2 linked regions of the Xenopus tropicalis genome follow. The protein of the gene in region 2 interacts with the protein of the main gene of each other region in a biochemical or structural test. Links are inferred from orthologs where the notes say so. Each region holds a gene or a part of one and is shown on either strand. Other genes may lie near its edges.

Region 1 (16,620 bases), on a different chromosome or scaffold from region 2:
GTGCATTTTTACCACACTGACCTGGTGTATAATATATACAAGACTTTATATTTTGTCTGTTTGTTTATCACTGTAGGAACGTCCATGGAAAATGGTAACCAAACATCAGAAGAATTTTTCTTCCGTGCATTCCTAAGCTCCACAAGAGCCCCAGCCATGCTCTTCAATGTGTTTTTGTTCATATACTTGCTAATCCTGGTTTGGAATGGTCTGATGATGCTGTTGATTAAGTCTGACTCTCACCTCCACATTCCAATGTATTTTTTAATATTCAACCTCTCCTTTTTAGATATCTGTTATACATCAAGTGTTGTGCCCCAAACCCTTGCCAGCCTGCTGAACCCTAAGCACTCCATTACTTTTTCCAGCTGTGCCGCTCAGATGTTCTGTATTGCTATCTTCGGGATAGCTCAGATAGTTCTTATTACAGTCATGGCTTATGATCGCTATGTTGCTATATGTAACCCACTGTGCTATAGAAGAGTCATGACATGGACAGTCTGAATACTGATGGTTGCCGCTGTTTCGATTTTAAGCTGCGTGCTGGCGACTGTGATAGTATTATCAGTATTCTCCCTTCCATTTTGTACCTCTTTTGAAATTGATCATTTTTTTTGTGATATTGGGCAGGTATTACACTTGACTTGTCCAGGTGTAACAATGCATGCGATTGTTGAAATTTTGACATTTGGCATTGGTCTTGCTGTGGTTTCTATCAATTTCCTTCTAGTCCTTACATCCTATATGTATATAATAGCCGCTATACTAAAAATAAACACAAGCAAGGGGCACCTTAAGGCTTTTTCCACATGTTCCTCGCACATTAGTGTTGTTGCTGTTGAATATGCATTTCTTGGATTCTTATATTTAAGGCCAAAATCAACTTATTCTTTAGATAGAGACAGAATACTCCATGTCATCTTTTTATTTGGGACACCTATATTAAACCCTTTGATTTATAGCGTGAGAAACAAAGCAGTTAAGCGTGGTTTTACAAAGTTATTTGGTTGCAAGAAAGGTCATAAAATGACTTAATTTGTGTGAAACATCTTAAGAAATGAAACGTCTACTAAATCATCACAAAAGTATTTTATAAATGGACACTTTTTTTGCCATATCTGTACAAGTGTTATGAGTCTGACCAATGGTTGGACCTCCAAGAGGGGATTGAACTGGTGTTGGCACTGAGAAATTCAACGTAATTACAAGTTTAAGTGCAGATAAAGATCTGAATCTTCTCAGTTTCATATGCCTATTTTTAGAACTTTAGAATTTGACAACCTTTTGACCTCCAATAAAAGTCCAGTAACTTGCCTCAGTTTCCTGGGCCTGGAGATTGATTTAAATGTTGAATGGACTGTGTTGTCTGAGGATAAGCTGGGGGCAATGTTCCCTGTAAGCTGTGTGTGTATATCAGGGGTCCCCAACCTTTCTTACTCGTGAGCCACAGTCAAATGTAAAAAGACTTGGGGAGCAACACAAGCACCATAAAAGTTCATGGAGGAGCCCAATAAGGGCTAAGATTGGCTATTAGGCAGCCTCTATGCACACTATCAGCTTACAGGAGGCTTTATTTGGTAGGAAATCTTGTTTTTATTCAACCAAAACTTACCAACAACTCAGGAATTCACAAATAACTCCCTGGTTTGGGGGCACTGAGAGCAACATCCAAGGGGTTGGGGAGCAACATGTTGCCCCTGAGCCACTGGTTGGGGATTACTGCTGTACACAATAAATTGTGGTGACCACAAACGAAACCCCAAATTTTGCCGGTATTCTGACCTGAGCACACAGTTTTTAAAAATGGGCACATAAGTTTTAAATTTGAGCATAAAAGAATTATTTTGCACACATAGTCGAGAAGGAATAAAAGGGAACACTGATTGGGGTCATAGCTGAGGTAGTCCATGGTGTCATGGTGGAAAAAGGCAACCCTGTGGGTGCTACAGTCACTTGCAAGCTGAATTTTGCCTACAGTATCATTTATAAAGAGTGGGCAAATTTGCACCTGAGCATTAACCCATATAACCCATACAAACATTTCTTGTTAAACTTTCATCAGGACTATTGCCAGGTTGGATCTGTCGAGGGCCATTGAGTCCTATGGAAGGCTTCCAAAACCAGGCATTGAAGGCTTCAAAGCCAGGTAGGTTTTCGTTGTTTAATGAACTTTTTGGTACAAAAATATCGGGACTTAGAGAAGGCAATTACGATATTTTTCGTACGACCGATAAAGCATTTTTTTGAGATTTTAGAACATCAGAAATTATCGTGTTTTATGCCCCCCAAAAATTGGATTTTTGTAAATGGGCCCCCATGTGTCTAATGCCATTGATTATTATATATCATTAGATATACAGCTCTGTGGCATATGTTGGCACTTTATAAATCTTTGTCAGAATAAAATATAATAGCAATTAGTTTCGGGCTCTATCTCTTAAATTGCAAATCCCAGCATTCCTTGACAGACTCCCAAGTAGTAAATATATATATATATATATATATATATAAAGAGAGCTTACTACAGTCTAAAAGTATTAAAAATAAATTTTTATTGCTACATAAATAAAAATCTCTCTTCTGCTGGCTGAAAAATATATATCCATAAAAGTCAAAAATAAACGTAAAAGTAGCTGATACCTGGGAATTAAACTTTTTAATCTGTAAATCACAAATATCCCCACTAGAGACTTATGACTATACTGACAACAACAATCACTGGCCCTACAGTAGCATGGAGTGTTAGCCACAGGTGCAGCTAGTTAAGAGACAACTTATGCCCCCCAACTGCATCACAGAACCCCAGTGGGCCCACATTTGCCACTTAACCACGTGCAGAACCCCTTCCCCCCTGGCACATTGATGCATGAGTCCCATCATTGTAAACTCACATTTACTCAGTAATAATGATTTCAGATACACAGTGTTTTAGGTCACATAGAAGAGCACCAACTGCCAGTACCCACAGCTTCTCTCTGTATATAAGGTACTTGGGTGCCATTGGGTGTTGCTACTACCCATAGCCTAGCTTTGTATATAAAGTGCTTTGGGTTCTAGTAGCCAGAGTTTGTGATGTATTTGGGGTGCCAGTACCAATCGCTTATCACTGTATAACTTACTTGAATCTACCTTCCATTTTATATGTATTCACTGTATGTATACTGTATATATATGTTTTATGGTTGGATGGTAATGGAATTGTCCTTTCATTTCACATTATAATGTGCTGGAGTTGACTGTACGCCAGTTGTCTGTCTAGCAGTAATGCTTCGATAATATAAACAAGATATTGTTGCCTTGTGGGAGAAACGTATACGAGTCAAACTTTTACAAACCACCAAACCTCCGAGGTCCTTTTGAGGATAACAATTAATATCAATCAATGATAGGGATGTTACATATGTCACCTACAGCTTCCATCATCTATCAGATATACTTTACTGCAGTGTTGGGAATGTAGCAACATGCAGAATATGCCCCAGGCCTAATAACCCAAACATATCAACCACTCTATAATCTATTATTCTGCCTTTAGTGTTGTTTGGACAGCTGGATGTATGTCCTTAAAGTAGGTGTGGTTTACCATTTTTGGCTCCTATTCATGGCTGCCCCCAAACAAAAACATCTTCTGTTGCCTATGTGTGTATAAATGAGTTATTGCGTGTGTATTCCCTTGATACTAATCTGTATGGTGCCTTCCCTGTGTGTCAGTTAGAACCTTGGCAAAAAAAAAAAAAATACACCACCCTGGGGTTCTTTCTATATAAGCACCACACCTGTCTGCTGGTCTTTCCCCAAGGATCGCAGTGCAGATAATGTTTCTACCTTTATTATACTCCACATGTGCAAGTCCACTATGGCGCAAGAGTTTTGTGCGAACTCCAGATAAGACTAGCACCAGACTGGGGAAAAAAGTTAGGCAATTACTACATTGGGAGGGGCCTAAAAAATTTCCCCTTCCCTGTGTATTAGGCCTTACTTATACTTTAAAAGCTTAATTAACAGTAATGCAAAGTAATGAAAGTGTTCTAAAATAACTAAAACATAGGTTACTGCTGCACTGCATGGAAAACTGATAGAAGAGGTTAAAGAGCAGATAACAGATAAGCTCTGTATAATACAATTATATTCTACAGAGCTTATCTGCTAAGTAACCTGAGTCCTTTCTTCTTTGAATGGCATCCCCCACAGCTACAGATCAGCTTTGTTTATATAAACTATAGTATTGTTTCTAAAGCAAACACACCAGTTTTAGGGCTGTGACACACGGGGAGATTAGTCGCGCCACAACAAATCTCCGTTGTTGCGGGCGACTAGTCTTCCCGAAATGCCATCCCACCAGCTAGAATGTAAATCGCCGGTGGGATGGCCTACACAGCACCGTAATTTGCTGTAGTCGCCAAAGTTTCCTCTCAAGGCAACTTCGGTAAATCGCGGCACTGCATAGGCCATCCCAATGGTGATTTACATTCTAGCCGACGGGATGGCATTGCGGGGAGATTAGTTGCGCCACAAGGGAGATTTGTTGCGATGTGGAAGTAGGTGCCCATTATTAAATTTAAAGTTTTTGCAAGGCCTGGGAAAAACAAGGTATGAGCCGAAAGTTAAAGTTAAAGTTCTAACCTACAAAAAATGTTAAATCAGATATGATTTACTAACACTTACTGTTTACGAATACAAGATAAAAATGACAGCAAACATTGTAAATGATATGTATGATGAATCAAAATAAAAACAAAGTTAAAAAAAAAAAAAAAAAATTTAAAGTTTTGGAAGCCGAGAGACACAGTTTTACTCCAAGCCTCCTGCAGGCCAGCAGTCCCCATGGGGCTACCAAATAGCCAATCTGGCACCCCCAAACACCTGGTTCATGCTTGTGTGGCTCCCCAACACTTTTTACATTTGCATGTGGCTTACAAGTAAAAAAAGGTTGGGGATCCCTGCTTTATACAGACACATATCTCACAGCACACACCATTACTGGTGCAGCAAATCACGTGAATAAAAACATGACAATGCTTGTTTGCTGTACAGTTTATTTTTTTTTCTTTACGAATAAGAGGCCAAAAACGTTATGTACACAGAAATTCCAAAGGAAACTGACGCAATCTTGCTAGAAGCACAGCATTTATCCCTTCACCCAAGGCTTTGGTTTCAGCATCTTCTGGGGGGTACAAGTCCATCAAATAACCGAGCCCGAGAGAGGAAAGTTATTTGATGGGGAACCAAACCACATGCACTGTCCAAGCCACATGCACCCAGGCAGAAAACCCCTCGTGCAATAAATAAGTTGTGTGTGTATGGGGGGAAACAAAACAATGGTGACCTGTATGGGATCCTGATTCTCACTCCTCAGCTGTGAATTTTAAAACATAAATCAAAAAGTAAAGATTGTGGCCTCTGTCTTTTTCCAAGAGCAATGACACTGTGAATACAATTGTAATAAAAACATATATATGTATATTAAATGAGGAGTATGTAATTTTACTGAACTACCCTGCCATGTAGCCTACTCTACAACACACTCACTGCATTACAGCATGCTGCCATTCTTATACCCAAACATCCCAGGAAGCTCATACACGCCCCAATGAACCAACATGACCCCCTGCATTACATATATTCTGCAAAGGCCACACAATCACACATGCAGGAATAACTGCTCATGTTACACACTGCATACACATGTATCATGCCTGAGGGTTATCTACTCAGATGATCTTGTGTGTCCCAAACCAAGCTGTAGGCCCAGGGTGAAGCAATAAATAGACATTTGCCTCCATCTTACCACTTCCTACCCAAACCAATGAGATCACCTTCTTTTGCAAGGTGTTTTAGATATAAAACAGCATTTTATGTTCAAGAACCTGAGAGTGGAGATGCCACTGAAATAACTTGTTTCTGGGTGCCCCCTAACCGAGTACGTTTCAATTGGTCTTTAGCAGTTTTTCGCACCAGTGCCCCATCTCATTGGCTCTGACTGATAATGGGCAACTGTGTAAGAGAATATATTAGTTTTATGCAACTACAGCAAACCAATGAAGGACACAAGGCTAGAAGAGCCCACAGCAACCACTTAGGTGTCACATAGCATGTAATAAGTGGTTTCACGTTATTGAGTTGAGGTTACTGATTTAAAAAAACAAAAAAAAAAACAAAACATGGCAGGGTTATTAGCCAAAAGGGTGGGAAAATACTCAGCACTTGCTAAAATAAATTGGCTCTTGCAGGAAACAAGAACATTTCCCCCCTAAGGACATAATATGCTGCTTTTCTGTAATTCTGTCTTACATACCTGCTAAAACATCAAAGAAAGCAAGAAAGCAGTTGAAAGGCATATATAATGAATATACACTCGTTTGTACACAAACCCTGTTGAAATATTACCCCCAATTCACAATTTTAACTTCTCGGGTGCCAAAGCAGTCAGCAACACACATTTTGCAATGTGTTGAGAGTATTTTCCAGCACGTACTGAGTTAAAACACACAAACTTCCCACTATTGGCTGGCAGTGGGCTCTACTCAGCTTTAGAATGGATTAAAAGCTCTGCACTCTTGCACTTACTAGTTGTCTCTGTTTGAGATCAAGGCATAAGGTACCAGCTATGCACAGATCGCACGTTGTGCTCGGTTTCTCTAACAAGTTTATGTGCAAATATGCTGATGGACACCAGATTTTTGTATTTTGCTGTTATTCTGCATGCGACGCCTTGTATTATTAAAAAAAAAAAAAAAAAAAAAAAAATACGAAAAAAAAAAAAAAAACGCTAGATGTATAAACCCAGACTAGTAGTTATATACTTGCCAGAGACCAGCAGATCTCCTTTGCTTAGTTTGTTTCACTTCCCCACCCACTTCTCCAAGAAGGAGCCAATGCTTATCGCGTGCTGATGCAACGAAGAAGAGAAGATGGCAACTCATTCCATCTTGTGCTATAAATGCGCAATGGGATAATAGAAAGAACTAAAAGGGAGTTATGCATTCATCCTTTAACCTCTCTGCGGCTGGAAGCACGTGCACCGCCTGGTTTCTTCCAGCAAGGAAGAGGTTACTCCTGGACTACTATTTCAAAACCAAATTGGAAGAAGCAGAATAAAGATGAAACCGTTCAGGGGTTAAAGTGAAGATACTGCGTTGCAAAGTCCACGGGATGCTGATTACTTTCATAGCCAGCACTGGGTTTGTGTTCCCTTCCCACCCCTCCCTCGTTCCGTCCATCTCAGGCCTCTTGCTGTGCAGGTCTCTTCAGGTCACGGATCTGTTTCACTAGGTAGGTTTTCTCATCGTTAAACTGCTCGTCTTCAGTACGGTCATTCTGGAACTTGCTCAGAAATTCAATGAGCTTGCTCTGGTTCTTTAAAAGGATATCCAAAACTGGCTGGGTCTTATTAGGGTTGGCTACAAACACCTGTACAAGTTGGGGGGGAAAAAAATGACCTCTCAGTAATACTGAAAATATCTGACAAAATTCCTTACTTTGCCTGTAATACACATATGCATATTGTTTGAGTCAAACCTTGTACTTCAATAAAGCGCAGATATATTTTCCTGATAAACTGTGTTAAAGAATATATCTATGCTGACATATTTTATGGTCGCTATAGCCTGTATTGTAGAGCTAAAGCTATAGAAAGGTGGGTCCGGCTACACCTAGACCTGTATAAAACTGTTACTAGCGGCAGGGATAAGGATAACTATGCAAAATAAGAGAGATAATAATGTCCTTTCAAACCTATTATGCATTCAAAATATCTGCTGGGTAATACAGGTATGGGATTCGTTATCCAGAAAGCTCCAAATTCAACATTTTATGAAGATCCACATTATGTTATTAGGAATTACTAGACGAGAATGTCAGAGTTCAAAGGGTAACATTTTAAGGCAAAAAAACTTTTGAAAAGATATGTAGAATGTGAGAAAAGTAGCAATGGGAGAGAAAAGCTTACAGAAAGCTAAAGAGGGAAAATGAGCATTGGAAGTATCTGAAAAGAGTATGGGGGCGCAGAAAACCAAGAGGAGGAGTGGCTGCCATGATAGAAAGGTGCGTAAGGTGAGTGCGGGAGAGGGTACAGTTTATTTCAGAAAAAGGGAAAAAATGAAAGTACCTTAAACACATGGAAAGCCTCAAACTGAATGTTGCGGCTCTTATCACGCAGAAGATTCATCATTAACTTGAGGTTTTCTGGTTTGCTGATGTACTTTGTCATAATGGTGAAGTTGTGCCGGTCCAAAAGAAGCTCCCCGAGCAGCTGCAATCAGAGCAGGAATAAAGTGAGCAACTAGTCCAAAATTAACAGAGAGGGATAAAAATGTCAGGAATAAACACAATTAAATAATAGGTTGGGTAAAGGTTGGGTAAAGGAGTTAATTTTAGAGTTGCTGAAGGTACAAAGCCATTGGATTGCAGCAAAAGCGCATTATAGGAATCAAAAACACGGTAGCAAGATACAAAGTCAAAGCCAATTTATTCACCCTATTATCTATTAGACATTAAATGGCTTGTCAGAGTGCTGCATATAACACAGACGAAACCGAGGATCCCCAGAACTAAAAAGTATGGGCTTACGTAATGAAAAGTGGTATAGAGAAAACTCCCCCTGGTGACCAATAGAGGGTAAAGCAACTAGGCACAATTATATAGGCTCATATACCACTCATAATTGATAAAAACATATTTCACATTTATTTTAGGCCATTAAAAAACAGCAACAACCCCTTACATGCAATGCCTTATGCGTTTCATGCTTACCCAGCACTTAATCATACATACATACATACCTGCCTTACACACATACATACATGCCTGCCTTACACACATACATACCTTTCATACATACCTGCCTTACACACATACATACCTTCAACGACTGCCGTTTTGTCACGTAGTTTTCTGAGTGTAGTAACTTTTCATATTCACTGAAAAACTAAGGATGAGATTTTAAAGGTCAGAGTCAGCCCAAAGAGCAGGTAACTTGTACCTGAGGTAGTATTTGCTTCTATTTAAACCATAACAATTTTTGAATTTATTTTATCAACTAGTGAATCACTTTGCCTTAATCTATTTAGAATGATCTGTTCTAATTGTGATAGATCTACTAATACACACCCAATAACAGGAAGAAAATAAATAAATGCTGACAGCTTTCTATGGTACTCAGCATATTAAGCCAGTTTATTAAACCTTTTAAAAAAGTTTTCCAGTTTTAGCAACAAATAAGAAAGTAGCATTTACTACCTGTTTGAAAGTAAAATTCTGATTTGTTGCTACGGGTTACAAGGCCTGGAACCAACTTTGAACCTGTTATTACATTATTGGTAGTATGAGGGTGCTTCACAACCTACCCGGTCATAATGCTGCTCAAGGAACTCGGCACTCAGGAGCTTGTGTCTTGTAAGTAAATCCTGGGGGGAAAAAAAACAAGCTTACGGTTATATATCACAATTAAACACATGTACTTGGAATTTAGAAGTTAAATTAAAATAGAAAAGAGACAGCTGCTCACTTTAACCAAAACAGAGGGTGCAATGTACAACACTTTGTCGTTTTGTGTGGATTGTAGGGTTAAAGCATTAGGATATGTTAATAATTAACCTTCATAGACTAGCAAAGGATTTGGAAGGTTCATTTGAAGAGCTACATAGATCAAAGATAAAGGCAAGTAGCTTGTCGCCAGGCACAGAGAGGTACCATGCAAAGGCCTGAGAAGTGCTGACCTTCTGGGCTAAGCATAAGCACCGACACTATATAATGGAAAGAAGAGGGAGAAGTATAACAGGAGGGAATTCAAAGCAATGCTAAATTAGCAAAAAGAATAGCAAATCCTAGTTACAGAACAGATTAACACCGATAAGATGCCTTGGTAGGGAAATGTATCTATTAGGATGCCTGTCAGCAGTGAAACAAATGGACAAATAGTTTTTAAAAAAAAAATGATAAGGGCTGGTTGGTAATTGTGTGTGTATTAAGCAATGCTGCAAGAGAATTATACCACAATCAAAAACACATCAAGGGTGAACAAATAAAGTCAAGTATGTGGCAAAGGCATCAAGGATGAAGTGGAAAACAGATAGGGCTCAGTGTTGGACTCTTTCCACTATTCAGCTCAGCCTATTTTTCTCTTTTCCCCTGATGCCTTTGTCACATATTTAACTTTACAGAGACCGAGATGACTGCCACAACAAGACTAAAAGGAGAAGGAAAGTTAAAATCACTGGGGGTGCCAAATGTAAGGCACCCCCATTGATAGTAATAACCTACCTGATACCCCAGGCTGGTGCTGATATTAGAGTCAAAAAGCAGACTTTTTTTTGTTAAAGTTCAGCTTTTCACTCTACTGTGCATATGCAGCCAGCGTGAAGAAGACCGAAGAGGAACACTCGCCTAATATTTTGGCATCCCCCAGTGATTTGACCTTTCCTTCTCCTTTTAGAAATATAGCTGGCCTCAGCTAAAGCAGCTAAAGGCAGTCGTGCAGTGGCTGGTTGCAAACCTGCACAGTAAAGTATTTACCTTAAAGGTGGCAAAAGCGTCAGAAGCTATGTCAAAAGTGGACATTTCAACATATCGGAAGAAGTCATAAAATGGCTCTGACCAAAGGATAATCTTGGCAAGTGGTTCATGTCGAATGCATTCCCGCAACATAATTCCACAATTTAATGCAATCTCTGGTGACTCATACCTGGGAACATAATAGAAGAGTGTTACACATTACCTTTCAATATATTGATAAATAGGTCAAAGGCATGATGGAAAGAATAAGACTAAATAATAATAATTAATAATTTCCTTAACACCCACCACCCTGCCGCCTGCTAACGCCAAGCACATTTATAGTAAACTCACTGACTGCCAGCTGAAAAAAAGGCACAGGACATACCCTTTTAAGAGCATGAAGAGTATGTTCTGCTGGGTGCATATATATTCCACTGTAGGGGTTCTTGTTCCAATTTGCCTCCGTAAGATATTGTTAAAGATTTGTGCCACGTCTTTCTTGCCCTGAAATGAAAAGTTGGTAATTTATTCTGTAGCATGAAAGCCTCATTTACTAAGTATGGGGCAGAATGCAAAAGTGTAAAAAACAGGCACAAACGGCTGTGCTGCTTTTAACTATGCACCATGCCATACTGTTATTGCCCATAGGCTCCTCTCTGAAGAGCAAACTCCTGTGTCACTCCAAAGAACACAGCACTGCTCTATTCATAAGGAGTTGATACATAGCCATCCCCATAGAAGTCTGCAAACTTGCACATCATTGAGAAGGCAAGCCATGGGTTGGCAAGAAACACATAGCAGGGGCCTGCTTATAGCAGGCCTTAAATTCAGAGCTGTGTTGTGCCCACAGCAATGTGTTTTGTGTCTTGCAGTGCAAGGTGCAGGCTGCAAGTGTTGGACAGGTCCTAGAGGTGAGATTTTGAACATCTTAGGGCTCCAGTACATGCACCCGTGGGACCTGTAAATGAGGCCCTGTGGCTCTATGGGATGTGACAAATAGAATTCACTGCTAGGGAATGTATGTACAGTATATATGTAAAATACTGCTGCTGCTGCTTACCTCAAAGTCAATGAGCTGCAGATCAGCAACTAAAGTTCCAAGAAGTCCGCTGTTGTACAGTTCCTGAGCCAACTGTGCCACTGCCTCTGTTTGAGGTTCTTTCTCATTTGTCCCATAAAGGATTTCCTTCATGGCTACCAAGTTTTTAGACACCTCTTCAGTTGCCTGTGGAAAAGGTGAGAAATAAATGACTTTGAAGTTGTATAGGCGTAACAGACCAGGTCAGTACTGTGGCACCAATTTACAAGGTGTATCAGAAACTAAGCAACATGGTTTATAGCTAGGAATATAGACCTAACAATCTAACAATATAGACCTAACAATCATTTGTGGGTTTATATATTTTGTTTGTGTGTTCATGTATTTTATTAATATGGTAACTGTATTAAAGCAGTTAGTTAACTGCTGATTGGCAATGAGTTACAGAAACAAAGTAAAGTTTGCCTTTGTGTTTGTTTAAAAAAAGCCCTTTCTATGGCCCATACTTAAACCCTAAAGATACTTGCAGCTAATCACTGGGCTGCTTTGTTTTTAAACAATGTGCTGCTCCTGGCTACACATTAACTTTTTAGCACAAGAGTAATGCAAATACCATAAATACCATGTTAGGACAAACTGCTTGAACAGTAAAGATCTTCTTCAACATTTTCCCAGCTTATATCTACAGGATAACTATGAGCCCTGGATAGGCTTTCAGTCTGTAGTATGGGGTCTTTTTAAACAGCTACTCTCATATAAATCAGAAAGACACAGAGCCATGGCACAACAGAAGGGAAGAAGTGGTGGAGACCTCACAGAATGATTATGTGATCATCAGTGGCTAAAGGCACAGATAACGGTGCAGTTTTTGTATCAATATATTGTTAATATCAGCACGTTAAATTGGCCTGGGAAGCTAAATTGTGATCCTCATTTAAGTTCTAAAGCCACTGTAGTGGTCAAAGAGTATCTGTATGAAAATGAGGGTCCAAGCGCCTTATTGGATCCTGAATGGCAGCTCCCATGGCTACACAGAGGCTTATTTATATAAACCATATCAAAACTTCAGAAGCAGACACACAGTTCTTATCAATGTAGTAATTTATATTTATATATATTTAAATACATTTAAATACATAAAAACCTAGCTCTTTTGAATTCTTAAACCTCAATTTTGAAAAGGTAAACAGTTCAACAGCAAAGTGAATGTTCAATTTTAATCAACTATATAATCATATTTTGGGCAATGGCACAATGGCAAGCTTACTGCTGCCCATGGGATTAAAATTTGACAGGCTGGCGCCTAACTGCTTGCAATTGCTCCTCAATAGACTTTCAATGTAATTGCCCTGACCCTGCCAGTACAATCATAGGTTGGAGAATTATCACATGCATTTAGTGCTGCATCTCCAAGGGGCCTGAACACAGAGTGGCAAAAAGCAGAACAGCTCTGTTACAGAGCAATTATTCCTGCACAGCTCTTCTGTACTATTAAATTCTATCACTTTGCTTCACCAATTGATTCAGATTGCTGCTGTGAATCAATCCCATGTGTCTTTAGCCATTTCAGTTCATTATAAATAGGACAGGTAGATCCACACACAGTGCCACCCCACCATCCTAACAGGGCAGGAGTTTCTGCTTTCCATACTAATGTGTCATTAGTTGATTGTCCTCTGGGGAGGGTTAGTAACTCCATCAGTGAGGGTTTCCTCCACCAAGAGGCTCTACAAGGACAGCCCAGTGAAAGGGGACATGTATTAACCGAACAAAATGCTGTTCTGTCCATCTTCAGCTTCCCAGAAACAAATGATCTCCTTTTGGGCCATGCCAGTTTCTTTGCATCTTTGCTTCTGCTGCTGATGTGTAAGTCGTCGACAGAGTATGCAGCAAGTGAGACATTTGAGCCTGGAGTAGGGCGTCTAAGGGAATTGGTTTGGAGGGCAGGGGAGCTGTATGTGTGGGGTAACAACCCTCCTCTCAGCTGCAAAATGAGACAGCACAGAAAAGGCAATTTATAAAGGCAAGCAGGCTCTTCCCAACCAGAATACAAAAGGGATTAGTCATTGAGGAGATGGGAGGCTTGCTGTTACATCCGGTAACCTTATATCAGAACCTCTCTCTCACACACCTTACTGAATCAGCAATTTTTCTTAAAGTACCACTATAATTCCATTTATTATGTTCATTATGGATTTATTCAATGCAGACTGGCTCAGGGTGCAATTTTAACCTCATCTCAATAACCACCGTCACTCCTTATCCCGAAGGAGTGAGCATGACCTAGCACTGCAGGGGCATGGCACTGTCAAGGCCATAGCCAGCCAAACAGTGCTATAAACACCACTCTCCATAGCAGTTCCTTAGGTGCAAAGCTTGTACAAATAGGTAGCAAGGTTGTATAATTTCTGCCAGCACCGGTATTCCCCTGTAGTAAGAACAATTGTATAGAAAAAATGCAGGCGAATAGCTGCCCTTGGATAATGGGTCACAACATGTTTCAGAACAACAATTCCCAGAAGCTTCTAACATAACCCATTATTAAAACATTCTGGGAAATGTAACGCCTGGGAACTAAAGGTAAATTCACAAATAGAGCTTTAAATAAATGTAACATGTCATATCAAAATTTTCATTTTCTACACCTAGTGCTGCAGGAACGCTGAAAAAATACACTCCTAGGTAGTGCTATCGAAAAGTAATGATATGACATGTTAGTTAAAGGGAGGCAAGTCAGTAAAGGAAAGTGCAGACAGCTTCATCTGTTGGCCTGATGTAAATGTAATTGTGTTTCAGGGTACAAAACAGCAGGTTAATCAGTTCTGGGTTCATCAGCCATGTGACATAGAAGGGAAGGGGTTTGTCACACACACACACAGACCCACACATAACAAAGAGTTGCATGACAGAGAGATGAGCCTGCCGCAATCTGAAATGCCTATATACGCGTGATTAGTGGGTGTGAATCACGGGATGTGGTCAGCAGACTGAGAGTGAACTTTATGTATGGGGTCGTCATCAGGTGTTTAGCTACATTTATATGATTTATTTATAACTCACACTCCATATTACTCAAACGGTGTCATTTGTGTGATGTGCAACTTTTTTTTTTATCTCTCAGGTTTTATATTATTTAACGCCTCTGCAGTTCTACATTTAGGGCTCTGGCACACGGGGACATTAGTCGCCAAATCTCCCTTGTCGCGGGCGACTAATCTCCCCGAAATGCCATACCACCGGCGAGTGGGATGGCATACGCAGCGCCGCGATTTCCCCTGAAATCGCAGAAGTTTCCTCTCGAGGTGACTACTCTCCCCGTGTGCCACAGCCCTTAGGGTGAAGACACATGGAGCTACTAGTAGAAGCTACTTATCGTGGCTACTAAAATAGAAAATGCTGATCATTTACTGATAATTGTCTCTATGTGTGTTTTAGCATATGCAATTCTTAGTATTGTCTATGGCAGGGTATTTTCTGGAGTTTAGAAGCCATGAAAAAGTAGCTGCTACTAGTAGCTCAGTGTGTCTTCACCCTTAAGAATTTATATTGTTAATAGAATCCCACTTACTCTAGCAACCAAGGCAGTGGCTTAAGTGGCAGACAATAAAAATTAGTGCAAGCTCTAGGGATGAGGCCAAGGACCACTGCAGCCATGATGTCATGCAGTGGCGATTGTTGTGACACTGCTTCATCTGCTGGCGAGTGCTAATGATAAACTGATACCAGAAACCAGAAGAGACATGGTAAAGAGCTGTTGCTACTCAGTGTACTTGGCAAATCTCCAAAGCCTATGTCCTCTTGCAATACATGGCTTCCTCCCAGATGTGTATACGGGTAGATGAGTTTACCCGAAATGCTAGAAAAATTGATACAAACGGAGACAGTGGAAAGAGGCACTTTCCATTCACCAGTGCAGCTATTAGGAGCAATGACAGATAAAGAGGTGCATTTTCTTTTCTGTGGGAGAAAAAACATCCCATGCACCACAGTCCTTAAAGTCATTTCATTTTAATAAAACTTTACACAACTGATGGCTACAATTCCTTATGAGATAATGCATTTTTTTTAAATTTTGCTCAGATTTAAAAATTAGGAATTAGATTCAGTTAGGTATTTAGGCCAATCTTTTTAGAAGTATTTGGTATACAAAAAGTATGGAATTGGCAAAAAGAACTAAACAGAAAAGTCCACCATCAACTAAATATGTTAGCCCACATGGCAGTGTTCTCTCCTCTGTAACAAAAGCAGAATGCATAGCTGCCAACTGTTCATTTCAAAAGTCCTTTAGAGCCCCAAAGCTCCCCAGCAAAACTGTCTGGGTGGTGCCTTTATGACAGTCTTAACAGAACAAGTAATGGGAGGACTAGGAAGAGAGAGATGAGGGATAAGAAGTGAAGTAAAGAAAATGAGAATAGAGAAATTATGTAAAGGTGGGTACCAAACCAGAAGTGGCAGTGACAACGTATTGGGCAGCAGGGAGGCACAGTGGCTATACATATATTATATAATAATAAAGTGCATTTGGGGAAGGACACTGAATTGTAATTCATCAAAAGGTAATTCACAGGCGTATCAGTGGAGGGATGAAGAATACAATGTAATAAGGAGAGAGCGTTTATAAGGAACCAGTCACATCTACATGTTATATAAGGAGCATAAGCAACAGTACTGTACCTTCTCTGCCTTCTTATCAGAGATGTCCTGCTTCTCTAGCACAGCTATACTTTCCTTCAGGTTCTTCACTATGTCTGCAGGAGACTTGTGGGACTTCCCAAAGGGAAACGGCATGGTTCGTGAGGTAACACTGCTCTACACTTCTGCACAGGAGAGAATATACAGAAGAACTTCATATAATTTCAGTCTGAAAGCACAATGGGAAACTTCTATTGCCTTATTGCTAAAAGGAAATAATGTTGTGTAATTTGTGGTTGACTTGGTAATAAATAAGTAATAAATAGAAGGTTGAATTAAACACATGGTTTGTACTTATGCATTCCACCTTTAGCAACTGATTGAAGGAAACTGGAAATATACGGCACCATACATATGGAACTAAACTAAGTCCAGTTATGGAGGATATTCCCTTT
Region 2 (16,620 bases):
CAGGCACAGTGTTTTGCTCCTCAGCACCTTTTTACAAAGCTAGTACATTAGTTGAATGCAAAAGTTAGGTCATCCCTTGCCAAATATTTCCAATTAAAAGCAGTTTCCTTGGTCTTCCTGATCTTTCTTTGACTTCCATAGATCTCCTCAACTGCCATTACTTCATTACATTACAGACAGTGGAAGTTGTGAGCTACAAGCATTTTGCAATGTTCCTTTTTTTAAATTTCTCTTCCTTCGAAGGCATCAATGTGCTTCATTTTCTGATCCTCAGTTGCTAAGAAGAGCCCATAGCCGCTGAATGACAGCCCAAAGTTTTGAGGTGTAATAGATTTTATTTAAGTTTGCAGTTGTCAACAGGTGAATACTGCTAATGGCTAGTAAGGCCTAATGATATAACTAGGGTCAGGGACTTACCACTGGACAAGTGGAAGAGTGTCCAAACTTTTGTACATCCCACCATTACTATATTCTTTGCTGCTATATATTTGAAAGTTTGCGTCAAATAACTGTGCATTAATCTTTGCAAATATTTGGCAAGGGATGACCTAACTTTTGCATTTAACTAATGTACTAGCTTTGTAAATAGGTGCTGAGGAGCATAACACTATGACTGTAAAAAGTATAATGAATGGTAGCTTTACGTGTCTGTCTGCGGTTTCGTTGTACTTTTAAGACCAAGAAGCACAAAGGGTCCTGGTAGAATGGGCAACCATATGGGTTTTACTCTGCATAGCCTTCATCTTGATGCAACTCTTTCATCCGGTTTACAATATGGACAAAAATAAGTCACCACTTTGTCCTTACGCAGATTAAGTTTGGTTATAATACCTTGTACAGATAAATAGGTAACGACCCATAGCAAGGATATCGTAGCCATTAATGTAACTTTGCAATAGACCAGCTCAAATGGAGCCTGCTGTACTATTAATAAAACCAAATAAAGACTAAATCCATTTACAATAACTTGCCACTTAGACTACGTTGAACAGATGTGTGACATATACCTGTCCCCTAATTTGTAACCAATTATTTATTGGTTATATTTATATTGTATGTGATTTTCATCTGTGCTATATGGCATTGTTACCCTGTCCCTGTAACAAATGTGTGGATGTCCCAACTGCTTGATTTAAATCTGCACATGTTCTCCAGTTTAGAGAGCACTCAGTGGTATCACCTTTTGGCCTAACTGGTATAATAGAGAAACCTCTTGTAAACCATGTGCAAGAAAATGTTTAAGTCAAATTATCAATCAAAACATTTTCGGTTGGCTATGAACTGTGTGGTTTACAGTATGGCCATGCATTCTTGAGGTATAAATGTATGTATAGTCCCAGCACATACCGTTCCATTCTGCATAGTCTTTGACTCTGGCTTCTTCCGAACAGTAGTAAAACTCCATTCTGGGTGGGTATGGTTTTCTTTGTTGTTTGATTCTCTGCATTTAAGAATTAAAAAAAAGGATGCGTTACCACAGGCTATGCTCTGAGCAACATAAACACACGTATTAAACCCAAACACAACTTTTACTGGTGGAAAAAATAGAAATTGTTGCAGAGCTCTTTAGTTGGAATCAGTAAGCAGGGGTGTCAAACTCAAATCACACAAGGGGGCCGAAATCTAAAACACAAGCTAAGTAGCCGGCCAAATTTTTTATTAAAATACTGTACAGTCGATTGGTGCTGCACAGTCACCAGGGGCCACAAAAAACAGCCAGAAGGGCAGTATTCGGCCCACGGGCCATGTTTTTGACACATGCGAGATAAGGGGTCTGCCATGTCTGAAAGAAAGCTGGTTTATTTTAAGTATAAATGCATTATCTACTGCATAAACCATACACTGGCACTGTTCTATTGCCCAATGGAAAAAATAACTGAAAATAGCCAGAAATGGTAAAAAGTATTATTGCAATTCTTTGTATGTGCTAAGCCAACAAAGTGATTTTTTATCTGAAGAAATTCTTGAATAAAGTATCAGGAACCGAAGCAGTGTTATATCACTGTTAAACAAAGCTGATTTTTAAAAAAGGACACAAGTGGGCGCCGTTTAGCTTATTTGAAGCCATGTACTAAACCTTCAAGCTTAAGCAACGCGAGAATTTTTGTCTCTCCCAAAAAATAATTTTACTTACCATATATACTCGAGTATAAGCCAAGTTTTTCAGCACCAAAAATGTGCTGAAAAAGTATCCCTCGGCTTATACTCGAGTATATGGATTTGAAGATGTAAATTGCTGGCATTCATATTCGTTGCGCACCCCCCCTCCCCCTATTCCCCAACAATCACTGCACAGGGAAACTAGCTCCTCTCTCATATGCATTTTGTCACTTTGCGCCTCTTGTGTTTTCAATAAAGTATTTTGTGAAAAAAAAATTTCCCTTTGCTTTGCTGTGGAACGGGTGCCCTCTGGTGGCAGCTGCTGAGCATTACAGGGTTCCTGCTGTAAACTTGCGCCCTGTGGCTGTGACAGAATGGGGGAGGGAAGAGCCGTGACGGGTTGTGCGCAGGTAACGGGGAGTCAGTGTGAAATGGAATTGGGAAAAGGCCGGGACGCTGCCAGTCCGGGTTGTGCTGCATTCACTGCCTTAGAACAAAGTTGGCACAGGGGGGTTGAAGGTCGGGGCAGTGTGTCATGCACCTGGGAAAGCCCTGCCAGTACCGGGCACTAATGGGTCACATGACTCGTGACATGGGGTGCTAGCGGGGTTACCGGTAGGTATGGGGCAGGAAACTAGTCCCTGCAGGCTGAATAAGTCTCTATTCATAACTTATAAATAAGTCTCAAAGGCACCTAATGTACGAGCCTCTGGCACATACTGACACCTTCTCTCATTGTAAGCAATTGCCTTTACAAAGTACACATCTAATCCAGTTGACTAAAATGACCACTAATAGATATATTATGGCCTGAATGAATGAATGAAAACCTTCAAAGGGTCCTCCATCCACCTTTCCCTAATCACCTTTCCCCTAATCTGCAGCTGCCAACATGATATAGTTATGAAGAGTTTACAGGGGGTCACGCTGAGTGTTCTTTTATTATTTATTTGATTATTGAAACTTAGCAGTAGCGGCTGCATTTCCCACCCTAGGCTTATACTCGAGTCAATAAGTTTTTCCAGTTTTTTTTAGGTAAAATTAGGTACCTCGGGTTATATTCGGATCGGCTTATACAGGAGTATAAACGGTAATCAAATGTTAATGTTCTGTTTTTTTGAATAACGGTATATCAAAAATGTAGTAGTTCAGCAAGAATTATTAAAGAATAATTAAATCCTAAAAAGCCTTTTAAAGATTGAGTTTCTATAGGTCATCTTATGCTGCACTTGCTCAGTTTGCTCTGGGCTGCTGCTGAGAAGTTAAGCATGGGGAGATGTTGTAAATCTATTAGCAGAAAATGGGGTTACATTTGTCACAGAAGCTGAAGGTTACTGTGCTGAACACTCTGATGCAGAATTCACTGCTTTCTATGATGATAGAGGGGCTAGATCATCGACAAGTCCGAGCAGACACACCTTACGGGCTAGAATCCAAAGCAACAGGATTTGCTAAGTCATATATTTTACTACTTTGGACCAATAGTTGTTTATGGTGGGGCACTCCCATATTAGGTGGAAGAACCCAGTATCAGGGGACTGGCATTTCAGACAAGCGGAAATAGGGTTTTTTGCCTATAGCCTTAAGCTTCTGTGGGGCGATACAAGTCCTATGAATACTATATATAAATATAGTAATAAAGTTACTCTTATGTTTTTTGTTCGTCTGCAGGATATATTCAGGCAAACAATCATCTGTGTGCAGCTAACAGAGTAAGCTGAAATATACTGTGGCCCTAACCAGTGATTTAAGGGGTAGGTACTAAGGGTAGAAACAAAACAATGCCTTACATAAAAGAAAATATAGCCTTTTAATAAGGGAGAATACATAATACATTTTAGTAGTATACAGATCATATTGCACATAGGTGTACAAGGTCCATTTAATAAAGCAGTTTCTATTAAGGCACTTACGTATCCGAGTCATCAGAGCCTGAATCACTGTGCCCTTCTGCTTTCCATCTTTTGAACCGGTCAATAAGCTCAGTCAGGTAAGATGTCCTCTTGGCATTCTTCACAATATATTTGTGTTTCAGGAGTTCTCTAGCAGTGGGACGCTGGATTCAAAATAAAAATTGACAGTCATTTTACTTCATTTTTAATATGCCCAGGGCTAAAAATATTTGCTTTATTTGATTACTACTGATGTTACAGTGCAGGTGAGGTTAGTACTGGGGAAAAACATTCACACCTACTACTGGTTTTTTTTTTTTTTTCTGTTAAAATGTTGTCTGGTTAGTTTCACTATATATTCAACATCCAAAAAGTCTCGGAGCAGCCTTTATGTGCAAATCAGCCTCACACACCCCCTTACGTTGCCACAATACTTACAAAGCTGGGATCCTTGTTCAAGCAGGCATCTACAAACTCTTTGAATGGTTTACTGAAGTCCCCTGTTAAGGATGGTGGATTATTTTTAGGAATCAGGAACAAAACCCTCATGGGGTGCATATCAGAATTTGGCGGCTCGCCTTTGGCTAGTTCTATTGCTGTAATACCTAGAGACCAAATATCAGCCTGAAAAATAAATGGGAAACAAAATTAACTTCAATGAAAAATTAACTGCAATGAAAAAATGCTATTGTTTGTTAGCACCCACACACGCTGTTATTCGTTGAGGCTTCTGTCGTACCAAGAAATAAAATCATTAATATTCTGTTAATCTGGTTATAAGAACAGATTTGGTTATAAGATCTGACTATTGCATGAATCACTAGATTTTGTAGCCTAAAACATCATGGCCAAACAATCACATTACTAAAGGCCCCATGTGGTGAGTATTTAGGCTGTTTTCACACAAAAAAGCCAATAATAAACATGTTAGGCGTGGATTCTGCCTTGAAAATCCAATAATTTGAAATCCACATCATGTGCAACATCAACACCATAATACGTCATTTTTGGAAAATGTTTTAGCTGGTCCTAAGTTTATAGTAAGCTTACCTTGGAATCATAAGCAGACTGCTGTATGACCTCTGGAGCCATCCAAAATGGTGTCCCTACAAAGGTGTTTCTTTTTATTTGTGTGTCTGTAAGCTGCCCTGCGACACCAAAGTCTGCGAGCTTGACATCCCCCTGCTCAGACAGGAGTACATTGGCAGCTGGAAGATAGAATACACTACTTAGAACAGACTGGAACAACCGGGAACCAACAGACTGGAAAATCAAACATTCCCATACCTTTGATGTCCCTGTGAATTTTATTCTCAGAGTGCAGATAGTCAAGGCCTTTTAATATTTCTTTAAGCATGGTAGCAATCTGGAACTCATCAAAAGGACCAACACGAAGCTAAAGGTTGAAAATTACAATGCAGAAATAAAAAACACTTAAGATGCATATTGTTTGTTTGTTAAACTTACCCTGATATTAAAATAATTGCAGCTAATCATTATAAGGTGTATATGTTCTGCATATTACAACCTTGGGCCAGGATACAAGTTCCAGAACAGCACCCCTGCTATATTGATTTTTTTTTTTTTCCAGTTTTGGCTTATGATATGAGGCTATTTCAATTTATAAAAATAGTGTTGAAGAGGTCATCATTTCAATTAGTCTCAGCTTCAGTGGAGCTTGCACTGTAGCTTCCCCATCACATTCACACAACACACCTGAAATGTAAGGAGACGATTATTCTGCCTGTATGGATCAAAGTGCTGATTGGGCTTACTGGCAACTGTACATAAGGTTTGCCAATGTGTCTTGCCAGCACAGCTGCCTTTATAAATGTGATTTACTGATTTCAAACTCCTGTTCCATATGCTGTTCATATTGTGTGCAAAGTTATTAATATCAACATTGACTTATTAAGCGCCAACATATTCTGCAGCGCTGTACAATAAGTAGGTTTCATACATTTGACATACAAAGTAAAATATAAAGCAACCAATAACGGATACAAGAGGTGAAGAGGGCCCTGCCCAAAAGAGCTTACAATCTACAAGGAGAGAGGTTTGAAACACAAGGTGTGGGAATGGGCAAGATCAGAATCAAGCAATGGGAGAGGTGTGGCACAGGTTGCTTGTAGCAGCACACTGAGGTTATGTTAAACTAAATGAGGGTAAGCTTCACTAAATAAATGCGTTTTTAGAGATCGGGAGTAAGTCTGATAGTTTGTGGGAGCGAATTCCAGAGAAGGGGGGCAGCCCTTGCAAAGTCTTAAATGCAAGTGTGAGGGAGGAGTTGAGAAGTAGGTCAGTAGAGGAGAGTAACAAACAGGTTGGTTGTTATCTAGAGATAAGTTCAGAGATGTAGGGTGGGGCAGAGTTATGAACTGCTTTGAATGTCCTAGTCATTAGTTTGAATTTTATCCTTGATGGTAGGGGAAGCCAGTGCAGGGATTGGCAGTGGTATGGCAGAGGAGAAATGTTTGGATAGGTGTATGAGCCTGGCAGCAGTATTCATTATGGACTGGAGAGGGGACAGTCTCTGAAGGTGAAGGCCAATTAGCAGAGCGTTACAGTAGTCCAGGTGAGATATAATAAGAGTGTGAATAAGAATTTTGGCAGCATCTTATGCACTTTGGTAGAAATAATATAAACGCTAGTTATACACTAAATGGTAGTGTGTTGGGGGTATCCTTAATTGAGAAGGATCTGGGAATTTTTGTAGATAATACGTTGTCTAATTCCAGGTAGTGTCATTCTGTGGCTACTAAAGCAAATAAAATACTTGCATAAAAAAGGGCATTGATTCAAAGGATGAAAACATAATTTTGCCTTATTTATAGGCATCTATCTGGTAAGACCTTACCTTGAGCATGTAGTGCAGTTTTGGGCTCCAGGATATTAATGAGCTGGAGCGAATGCAGAGACATGAAACTAAACTAGTAAAGGGGATAAAAGATTTAAGCTATGAGGTTAGACTGTTAAGGTTGGGGTTGTTTGCAAAGGGACATGATTACTGGCAGATAGGGGGTGTTCTTTTTTGCCATAATAGCAATCAGCGCACCAGAGGCCACCCCTTTAGATTAGAGGAATGGGATTTTCATTTGAAGCAGTGTAGATGTTTTTCATGGTGAAGGCAGTGAGGTTGGGGGAATGTCCGTCCAAGTGATGTGGTAATGGCAGATTCTGTTAATGCCTTTAAAGAGGGGCCTGGATGAGTTCTTGAAGAAGTATAATACCCAAGGCTATTTTGATACTAAAATCTACGGTTAGTATTGATGTTTGTATATATGGTTTATTTACGAGTGTATAAATAGGTCAGTACAGGTGTGTGTGTGTGTGTGTGTGTGTGAGCTGGGTTTACTTGGAAGGGTTGTACTTGATGGACTCTGGTCTTTTTCCAACCCTATGTAACTATACATAAAAACACACAGTGTATATTGCATTGTACAAGTTAGTACACATTTTTTTTTACGTTTTTAAAGGTTTAAAATAGTATATATTTTTGTTGTACTTGAAGAGTCAGCGGATTTACTGCTGAAGTTTGTTGCTGGAACGAGTAGTAGTTTTTTGTACAACAGCACCATTTAGAAATGGAAGCTAGTCTTTAATTTACTACTGCAGCCAGGCAATGGTTTAAATGACAGACTGGAAGATGAATAAAGAGATCAGTAATAAACAGTAACAATAAATTGAATCCTCACAGGGCAATGGGTTTTTGGCTGCCAGGGACAATGCTCCCAATCAGACAGCTTGCAAGAGAAAGGAGGAAAATAATCCAAAAAAAAAAAACCAAACAAACAAATTGAAGACCAATTCAAAAGTTGCCAATAATAAGAAATTTAATAAGACACTAAAAGTTAACTTAAATGTGAACTACGATTTTAAGTCCCCAAGTCTTTTGCTCTTTTCGTCTGTAAAAATGCAGAATACTGCTGTTATGGACCCCAGGGATTGATGCACTTACACACCCATTTGGCTCCATGGGCAGGCAATCTGACTCAAGTGAAATATGTGGACTGTATTTCCCACAGAAGTATATGCAAGTGTCACTTGGGAAAGTGAGAAGTGGATTGTCTCATAAGGGGATATTCAGTATACTTCTTAATGAAAGTAAAAACCATTTAAATGGAGCTTATCACTGTAAAGCAAAAACACAGCCTACAAACTAGAAAGGGAAGTTTGAGAACAAACTTCATGTTGGGTTGAAAAACATGAAGTCACTGAATGGGCTCCGCCCACTTTCTCTAACCTTGGACCACAGTTATACAGTAAAAACCACTGTGCAAAGTTTGGGGACCCTGGTTTTAATAGTGTCTGAATGGCAGCAACCTAAATTTCCGTACTGAAAGTCAACAACATCTGATTGGCGGTTGGTAGCTCCACCCCCTTTTTCTAACCTGGAACTGCAGTTAACTAGTGACTAACTCTGCAAAGTTTAGGGGCCCTAAGGATTAATAGTTAAACGACGGCAGCAATTAAAATTTAAACCAATAAAAGTCAATAGGTGAATTGTGATTGGTGGCTCCGCCCACTTTTTATAACCTTGCGTCAAAGTCACCCAGTGACAAACAGTGAGCACCCTGGCATAAATAGTTTGAGAATGACAGCATTTTAAATTTAAACCAAAAAAATTCAATGGATGAAATCTGATGTTAGTGGCCCAACCTACTTTTCCTATTTTTGAACTGCAGTCCCCCAGTGACCAACTTTGCAAATTTTGGGGACTCAGGCATAAAAATTGTGAGGCTGACAGCATTTTACACTTCACCATTGAAAGTAAATAGGTGAAATGTTATTGGCTGTTGGTGGCTCTGCCCACTTTTTTTCTAACTTTGAATGGCAAATACCCAGTGAGTAACTCTGGAAACTTTAACAACCCTGGAATTAATATTTAAATAATGGCATCAGTTTAAATATAAACCAATGAAATCTAATGGGTGGAAATGGATTGGCTGTTGGTGGCTCCTCCCACTTGTTTGGGAACCCTGACATAAATAGTGTGAGCAAAGCAACATTTTAAATATAAACGAAAAAAATTCAATAGGTGAAGTCTGATTGGCTGTTGGTGGCTCCACCCACTTTTTAAAACCTAAAAATGCAGTTCCCTAGTGACCCTGGTGTTAATACTGTGAGAATGGCAGCAGGTTGAATTTCCTATTGAAAAGCAATAGGTAAAATCTGATTGGCTGTTGTTGGCTCCACCCACTTTTTCTAACTCTGAACTGCAGTTACCAGGTGACTAGCTCTGCAAAGGTTGGAGACCTTAGTATTAATATTTAAAGAATGGCCGCAGTTTAAATTTAAACATATGAAGTCTATAAGTGAAATCTAATTGGTTGTTGTTGGACCCGCCCACTTTTCTAAACTTGGAACATAGTCACCCAGTGACAAACTGTGCAAAGTTTGGGGACCCTGACATTAAACATGTGAGAATGGCAGCAGTTAAAATTTTCCCACTGAAAACAATGAAAGAAATGTGATTGGCTTTTGGTGGCCCCGCCCACTTTTTCTAACCTTGAGTACAAAGTGACTGACTGTGCAAAGTTTGCGAACTCTGGCATCAAACCAATAAAATTCAATAGGTGAAATCTGATTGGCTGTTGATGGCCCCGCCCACTTGTTCAAAACTAAAACTGTAGTCCTCTAGTGACCAACTGTGAAAAGTTTGGGGACCCTGGTGTTAACACTGTGAGACTGGCAGCAGGTTGAATTTCCCCATTTAGAGTCAATAGGTAAAATCTGATTGGCTGTTGGTGGCTCCACCCACTTACAAAAATACAAAAAACCTTAAATGCGTAGTCACCCAGTGTCTGACTATGCAAAGTTTGGGAAGCCTGGCAACAAACCAATAAAAATTAATAGGTGAAATCTGATTGGTTGTTGGTGGCTCCGCCCACTTTCCAAAACTAAAATTGCAGTCCCCTAGTGACCAACTGTGAAAAGTTTGGGGACCCTGGTGTTAATTCTGTGAGAATGGCAGCAGATTGAATTTCCCCATTGAAAGTCAATAGGTAAACTCTGATTGGCTGTTGGTGGCTCCACCCACTTTTTCTTACCTTGAACCACACTTACCTGGTGCCTAACTCTGCAAAGTTTCATTCAGGCTGAGCCCATGACGGTGTGATTCAAGTTTAGCCTCAAAGCTGTAAGTTTGGCAGCAGTTTCAATTTCCCCATTAAAGTCAATGGGTACAATATGATTGGCTGTTGGCCCCTCCCACTTTGCGGTTTAAAAAAAACAAACAAAAAAAAAAAAACCCTGAATGTGTAGTCACCCAGTGACTGACTGTGCAAAGTTTGGAAAATCTGGCATCAAACCAATAAAAATCAATAGGTGACATTTGATTGGCTGTTGGTGGCTCAGCCCACTTTTCAAAAACTTAAACTGCAGTCCTCTAGTGACCAACTGTGAAAAGTTTGGGGACCCCGGTGTTATTACTGTGAGAATGGCAGCAGGTTGAATTTCCGCCAAATCAATGGGTAAAATCTGATTGGCGGTTCACAGCTCCGCCCACTTTTGGGCATCCAATAATCATATTATTTTCATTCAGGCTGAGCCCATAACTATGTGATTCAATTTGGGGAGCGCAGCCTCAAAGCTGTAACATTGGCAGCAGTTTCAATTTCCCCATTAAAGTCAATGATTAAAATTTGATTGGCTGTTGTTGGCCCCTCCCACTTTGGAGTCATCCAACAAATGTTGCTGCTTCATTCGGGGTGACCCCATGATTATGTTATTCAAGTTTGGGGGGTGTAGCTTCAAAGCAGTAAGTGCGGCAGCAGTTTGAAAATCTTCCCTGTCAAAGTCAATGGGAAAATTGGGGGGTTCGGAGTGGCGCCACAAAAAGACGGGGGGCGGGATCGCTTAGAAAAGCACAAGCAACCTGCTCCGCTATAGGGCGAAGATGTGTGGGGAGTTTGGGTGTTGTACCCCTAAAACTGTAGGAGGAGTAGCGTTTAGAAAATGGGGGGAGCTAAGAATAAGAAGAAGCGGAAGAAGAAGCGGAAGAATAAGCCAAAGTCGAAGAACAGTATGTTTGGGTTTTCAACCCAACATAATTACAGAACACACAGTCATCAAATCCAAGGTTAATAAATGTTAGAATTTGCGGACTTTAGCCTGAAAGATGCCTTGGCCTAAAGAATACGTGTGCAATTAAAGAATGCAATGCAGTTATGTAAAAACTATACCTGGGAAAAAGTTTTTAAATTCATCCTTGGAAAAAGTCTAAATATCTAATACATGTATAGAATCCCTTACCCAGAAACCCACTATCTAGAAAGCTCAGAATAACAGGAAGAGTTCATTATAAGTAAACAATTATATCTATATTTTTTTTTTATAGTACAGGTATGGGATCCCTTATCCAGAAACCAGTTATCCAGAAAGTTCTGAATTACGGAAAGGCCATCCCCCATAGACTCCATTATAAGCAAATAATTCTAATTTTTTTAAATGATTTCCTTTTTCTCTGTAATAATAAAACAGTACCTTGTACTTGATCCCAACTAAGGTATAATGAGTCCTTATTGGAGGCAAACAATGCTATTGGGTTTACTCAATATTTAAATGATTTTTAGCAGACCTAAGTTATGGAGATCCAAATTACAGAAAGATCCCTTTATCTGGAAAACCCCAGGTCCCAAGCATTCTGGATAACAGGTCCCATACCTGTAACTAAGCTGCATGGATCCATAATGGTGGCAAAATAATCCTATTGGGGTTATTTAATGTTTACATTTTTTTTTTTTTTTTTTTTAGAGTTATAGTATGGTTATCTAAATTTTGGAAAGATTCCTTATCCGGTCACCCCAGGTTGCACACATCTGGTTAACAGATCCTATATCGGTGTATTACCATACAATAATGAAACACCGTACTTCCTTAAGGGTAAGGGCACACTGCATATTTTCTGTATTATTGTCAATGTTTTAAAGATTTTGTAACGTTAAGCAGTTTATTTTTATGTATTCTTCTTTTAACAGGTGAAGAGTATCATAACTACACCATAAAAATTATTTGGCACCTAAATTTCCCAATTAATATTGTATTGTCTTCAGATAGCCTAAAGTCTTAGCAATGTATTTGTGCATATATATTGAGGTGGCCCAAATTGGGCTAAATGGCTATATTAGTTTTGTGCACAAAATAGTTTAATGTCTTTAATCGTTTATTAGAAAAAAAAAACTCAAGATGAATGCCCTGCTAACAAGATAAAAATACAAACCCAGAAATAACATCAAACCTGCCCAAAGATTACTTTGAAAGTTATAACTTGTGGGTGAATGTGAGAAGAGGTGGAAAGAAGGGAATGTGTGCCACTACTGTTGGCTTTCCCTGATCCTAATAAATGATGTACACACATAAAAAGAAAGTACATTCAATGCATGCACTGCTTAATGTAACCAGTAACTGCGCGTGTGGCAGGAAATTACAGCCATGACATTTTCAGGGGAAGGAAAACCTTAACTCAGAAAAGCATGAAAGAGTCTTTATTTAATACAGGTGTGTTGGGCAATGCCCACGGAAATGAGCTCCCAGTAAACAAACTCAACTCAGTTTCCTTTACAGAAATTGGCAGCACCCCTGTGGAACAAGAGTGTAAGGCTGACTTTGCTCTGCTTTTTTCCCCTCAATGAAACAAGGACACTTATGTTCTGCAAGCTGATGGCTTTTAAACATTGAAATCAGAAGCTGCTGAAAAGCTGCTTTGTAATATCACCAAACTGTATTCGCTGCTGCATCTTTCATAACTGGAGTTATCAAAAGTACATGCAAAGTATGATGAACCATAAAGAGGGGTATGCCACAAGTTTTGGCTGGAAATTCCTCCTTAGATCTGATTTCAGCCTGCTATTTGATTGCCCAGTTATATACTTTTGCATGTTTCTATTTTTAGGAAATGCTTATGAACATTTTTCTGGTAAGGCTTTGAGTATGCAGTGCAGTTTTGGGCCCCAGTCCTTAAGAAGGATATTAATGAGCTGGAGAGAGTGCAGAGACGTGCAACTAAACTGGTAAAGGGGATGGAAGATTTAAACTATAAGATTAGACTGTCAAGGTTGGGGTTGTTTTCGCTGGAAAAAAAAGTGCTTGTGAGGGGACATGATTACTCTAACATCAAGAACAACAACTTTTACTGAACTGTCACAAGAAAGGGTTAACCCCTATTTGCTGAAATGGTATCATATACCCTTAATGAGACTACTTAAAAGGGAACTTCTCCATTACATGTGATTGTAGTATTCTACCTAACATTTAAATTATCCTTAATTTTTTTTATCTTTGATGAATTATTAGTTGCAACTCTAAATGGAGAGTGCAAAGACATACAACTAAACTAGTAAAGGGGAAGGAAGATTTAAACTGAGGTTATACTGTCAAGGGTGGGGTTGTTGCAAAAAAAAAAAAAAAAAAAAAAAAAAAAAGGCACTTGCAAGGGGACATGATTACTTTGTACAAATACATTAGGGCAGTGCTGTCCAACTTCTGCGGTGCCAAGGGCCGGAATTACTCGCGCATACATGGTGGAGGGCCGCTAATGGAAGCCAGTTTTGACCACTTCCCCCTTTTAAACCACACCCACTTCAAACCATACCCATTTTATCACAATGGTGTTAGTGCAGAAAAAACCCAAATGCTTGGTCCTCACTGCAGGGATATCAACCATCATTCATATGTGAAATAATTATATTATGTCATATTAAGACACACCCTAAAATCCATATGACTTCTCCTCCCCTGTGGATAGCACAGCAACCCCCAGCATATAATTACACACCTTAGGGACCATTTAATGGCTATTTCCAACTGCTAACAAACTCCCAGAACAAACCCCTGCCAGGTTCACCTCCCACAGGCAGCATAGGGTAGAAAGAGTATGGCACACACAGGCAGCACTCTGCCTGGCCTACGCTACCTGTGTGTGCCATACTCTGCCTGCCCTATGATGCCTGTGTCTGCCATATGCTGCCTGTGTGTGCCATACCCTCCCTGCCCTATGCTGCCTATGTGCCATACTCTGCCTACCCTATGTTGTCTACACACAGGCAGCATAGGCCAGGCAGTACATACAATCTCTGAGGTGTGAACAGACGAACAATGTGGGTGATTACAGGGGGTGAACAATGCATAGATTAAAAGGTGTGAACAGTACAGGCGATTACATGTTTAAACAATATAGGGAGATTACAGCCTGAATCTGAGGTGAGAACCATGCAGGGGGGGGGGGGGGGGGCAGTTCATCTCAGTACCGATACCATTTAAATCTTACACAAGGGTAAAACATCAAAGCAGCCAGGGGGGGTCGAGGGCCGCATGCGGCCCGCCAGTTGGACAGCACTGCATTAGGGGATTATAGGCAGATAGGAGAGGTTCTTTTTTTCCTCATAAAAACCACCAGGACACCAGAGGCCTCCCCTTTAGATTAGAGGAACGGGACTTTCATTTGAAGCAGCATAGGGGGTTTCTCCCACTGTGAGGGCAGTGAGGTTGTGGAATGTCCTTCCGAGTGATGTTGTGATGGCAGATTCTGTTAATGCCTTTAAGAGGGGCTTGAATGATTTCTTGAACAAGCATAGTATCTAAGGCTACTGTGATACTAAAATCTACAATTAAAATTGATGTTAGTATATATAGTTAATGTATGTGAGTGTATAGCTAGGTCAGTATAAGTTTGTGTGTGTGAGGTTCACTTGGAAAGGTTGAACTTGATAGACTGTTTTTCTTTAAACCCAGCTTAACTATGTAACTTGTCTAGGTGGTTGGAAAAACAGTGCTCAGTAATGAATAATTCGGCACACAAGAGTGCAGGAAAAACCTAATTTGTATTGAACTGTATTAGAATTGAAGTCACAGATCAGACATTTGTTAATACTTACAATGGAAACTAAAAGGGAGTATGGAAAGTAGTAGTTTCCTCACTACACTTTTGTTATAGCTGCTAGCAACTTACCAGATCTAGTGCTGATCCTCCGCCTAAATATTCCATAATGATCCATAGTTTAGTGCCCTGCAAGGAAATAAACCACTACATTAGTACTGAAAAGCTGAATAAACACACCCTACATGAAAATTACTGGAAACAACTTCACATCATAACATTAACAAAACACAGCAGCATCACAGCAGCTTAGTGAATATTGATACTACAGTACTAACATTTATTATACAAATTAAAAAAGAAGGAAAGGTGAAGTCACAAAGGTGGGGGTGCAAAATGTTATGTTGATACTACAGTACTAACATTTATTATACAAATTAAAAAAGAAGGAAAAGGTGAAGTCACAAAGGTGAGGGTGCAAAATGTTATGTACCCTCCAGTGATTCTAATCACTGCACCGGGGTACTTCTAAGCAAGCACCATGGAGCGATCTTCCTGCTTCATGTCAGGTGCGCATGTACGGTAGAGTGAAACACCAATAAATAATAAAGAAGCAGAAAACAGGTGATTAGTCGCCTGTGGTAGGGGAGATTTACTGCAGGCAACAAATCTTAGTGTCTGCCATCAGCCTTTGGGCTGTGGCACACGGGGGAGATTAGTCCCCTGCGACAAATTTCCGACATCTCATCAAAATGTCATCCCACTGGCGAAAATGTAAATTGCCGGTGGGGTGGCATATGTGGCGCAGCGATTTACCCAAATCGCGAAAGTTGCCTTGAGGAAACCCCCGCGATTTCGGGAAATCACGACACCGCGTATGCCATCCCACCGGCAATTTACATTTTCGCCGGTGGGATGGCATTTTGGAGAGATTAGTTGCCTACGACAAGGGAGATTTGTTGCGGGCGACTAATCTCCCCGTGTGTCACAGCCCTTAGAAGTACCAAGGGCTGGTGCAGTTGCTAACAGGAGCATTGCCCCGGTTTATTAGGTAAGGGCAATGGCACATGGTAACGTTAGCACAGATTTAACTGCGGGCGACAAATCTCAGAGAAACGGCGTCCTCTTCACCAGCATTAGAATAGCTGCAAATAAATGACATTACTCGTGGTGATTGAGCTAATTGCAGGAAAAAACTAAGCCAAATCACCTCAAGTCATGTAATGTACTTGCAGCGATTCAGTTAGTGAAGGGGATGGCATTTTCATGAGATTTGTCATTTTCGGTAGCATAAATTTAACCGGCAATCGACAATTTTGCTGTGTGCCATTGCCCTAAGTGATTATAATTACAGGAGGGGAGGTGCTTAACATTTGGCACCAATCACTGATTTCATCATTCATTTTCACCTTTTCTTAAGACTAATGTACCATGGAGAGGTTTAATCACCCATGATAGATCTCTGCTACCGTGGGCGACTAATCTATCCACATGCACTGCCAGCAGGAGGAAACTTTTGGCTACTTCAGAAAGCTGAAGTGATGCGTAGGCTTTTCCACCGGTGATTCCCTTTGTTGTCAGTGGAAAGGCATGTCGGGGAGATTAGCCTGCAATAGCTAAGTTTTATCGTGGGCAACTAATCTCCCCATGTACCATTGCCCTTAACTGTAAAATGGAACGGTCTTGTCGAGGTCTGTCTATATGTAGCCCATCGTTAGGATGCTGTCTGTCAAGCAATGTAATCTCTAATTTGTTGCAGGCTGTGTGTGAAAAAACATCTTGAGTCCACTGCCTGGGTGGGCAGAGTGGTAT

The links.
Region 1: the proteins of stk26 (region 2) and cab39 are reported together in a solved structure, tested with the Homo sapiens proteins (2 studies listed by IntAct, with this or other methods). The link is inferred for Xenopus tropicalis from reciprocal best matches to the Homo sapiens genes STK26 and CAB39.

Annotation. Positions count from the first base shown.
Region 1 is NC_030681.2:127,995,269-128,011,888, forward strand, and holds the end of cab39 (calcium-binding protein 39), read right to left. Parts: intron 16,351-16,620; 5' UTR 16,322-16,350; coding exon 16,208-16,321; intron 13,518-16,207; coding exon 13,299-13,517; intron 11,720-13,298; coding exon 11,555-11,719; intron 10,999-11,554; coding exon 10,880-10,998; intron 10,682-10,879; coding exon 10,513-10,681; intron 9,405-10,512; coding exon 9,345-9,404; intron 8,927-9,344; coding exon 8,861-8,926; intron 8,252-8,860; coding exon 8,108-8,251; intron 7,411-8,107; coding exon 7,222-7,410; 3' UTR 5,023-7,221; downstream 1-5,022. UniProt on the Homo sapiens protein: Component of a complex that binds and activates STK11/LKB1. In the complex, required to stabilize the interaction between CAB39/MO25 (CAB39/MO25alpha or CAB39L/MO25beta) and STK11/LKB1.
Region 2 is NC_030684.2:67,435,573-67,452,192, reverse strand, and holds part of stk26 (serine/threonine-protein kinase 26), read right to left. Parts: intron 14,998-16,620; coding exon 14,941-14,997; intron 5,389-14,940; coding exon 5,280-5,388; intron 5,201-5,279; coding exon 5,043-5,200; intron 4,617-5,042; coding exon 4,431-4,616; intron 4,157-4,430; coding exon 4,014-4,156; intron 1,442-4,013; coding exon 1,348-1,441; intron 1-1,347. UniProt on the Homo sapiens protein: Serine/threonine-protein kinase that acts as a mediator of cell growth. Modulates apoptosis. In association with STK24 negatively regulates Golgi reorientation in polarized cell migration upon RHO activation.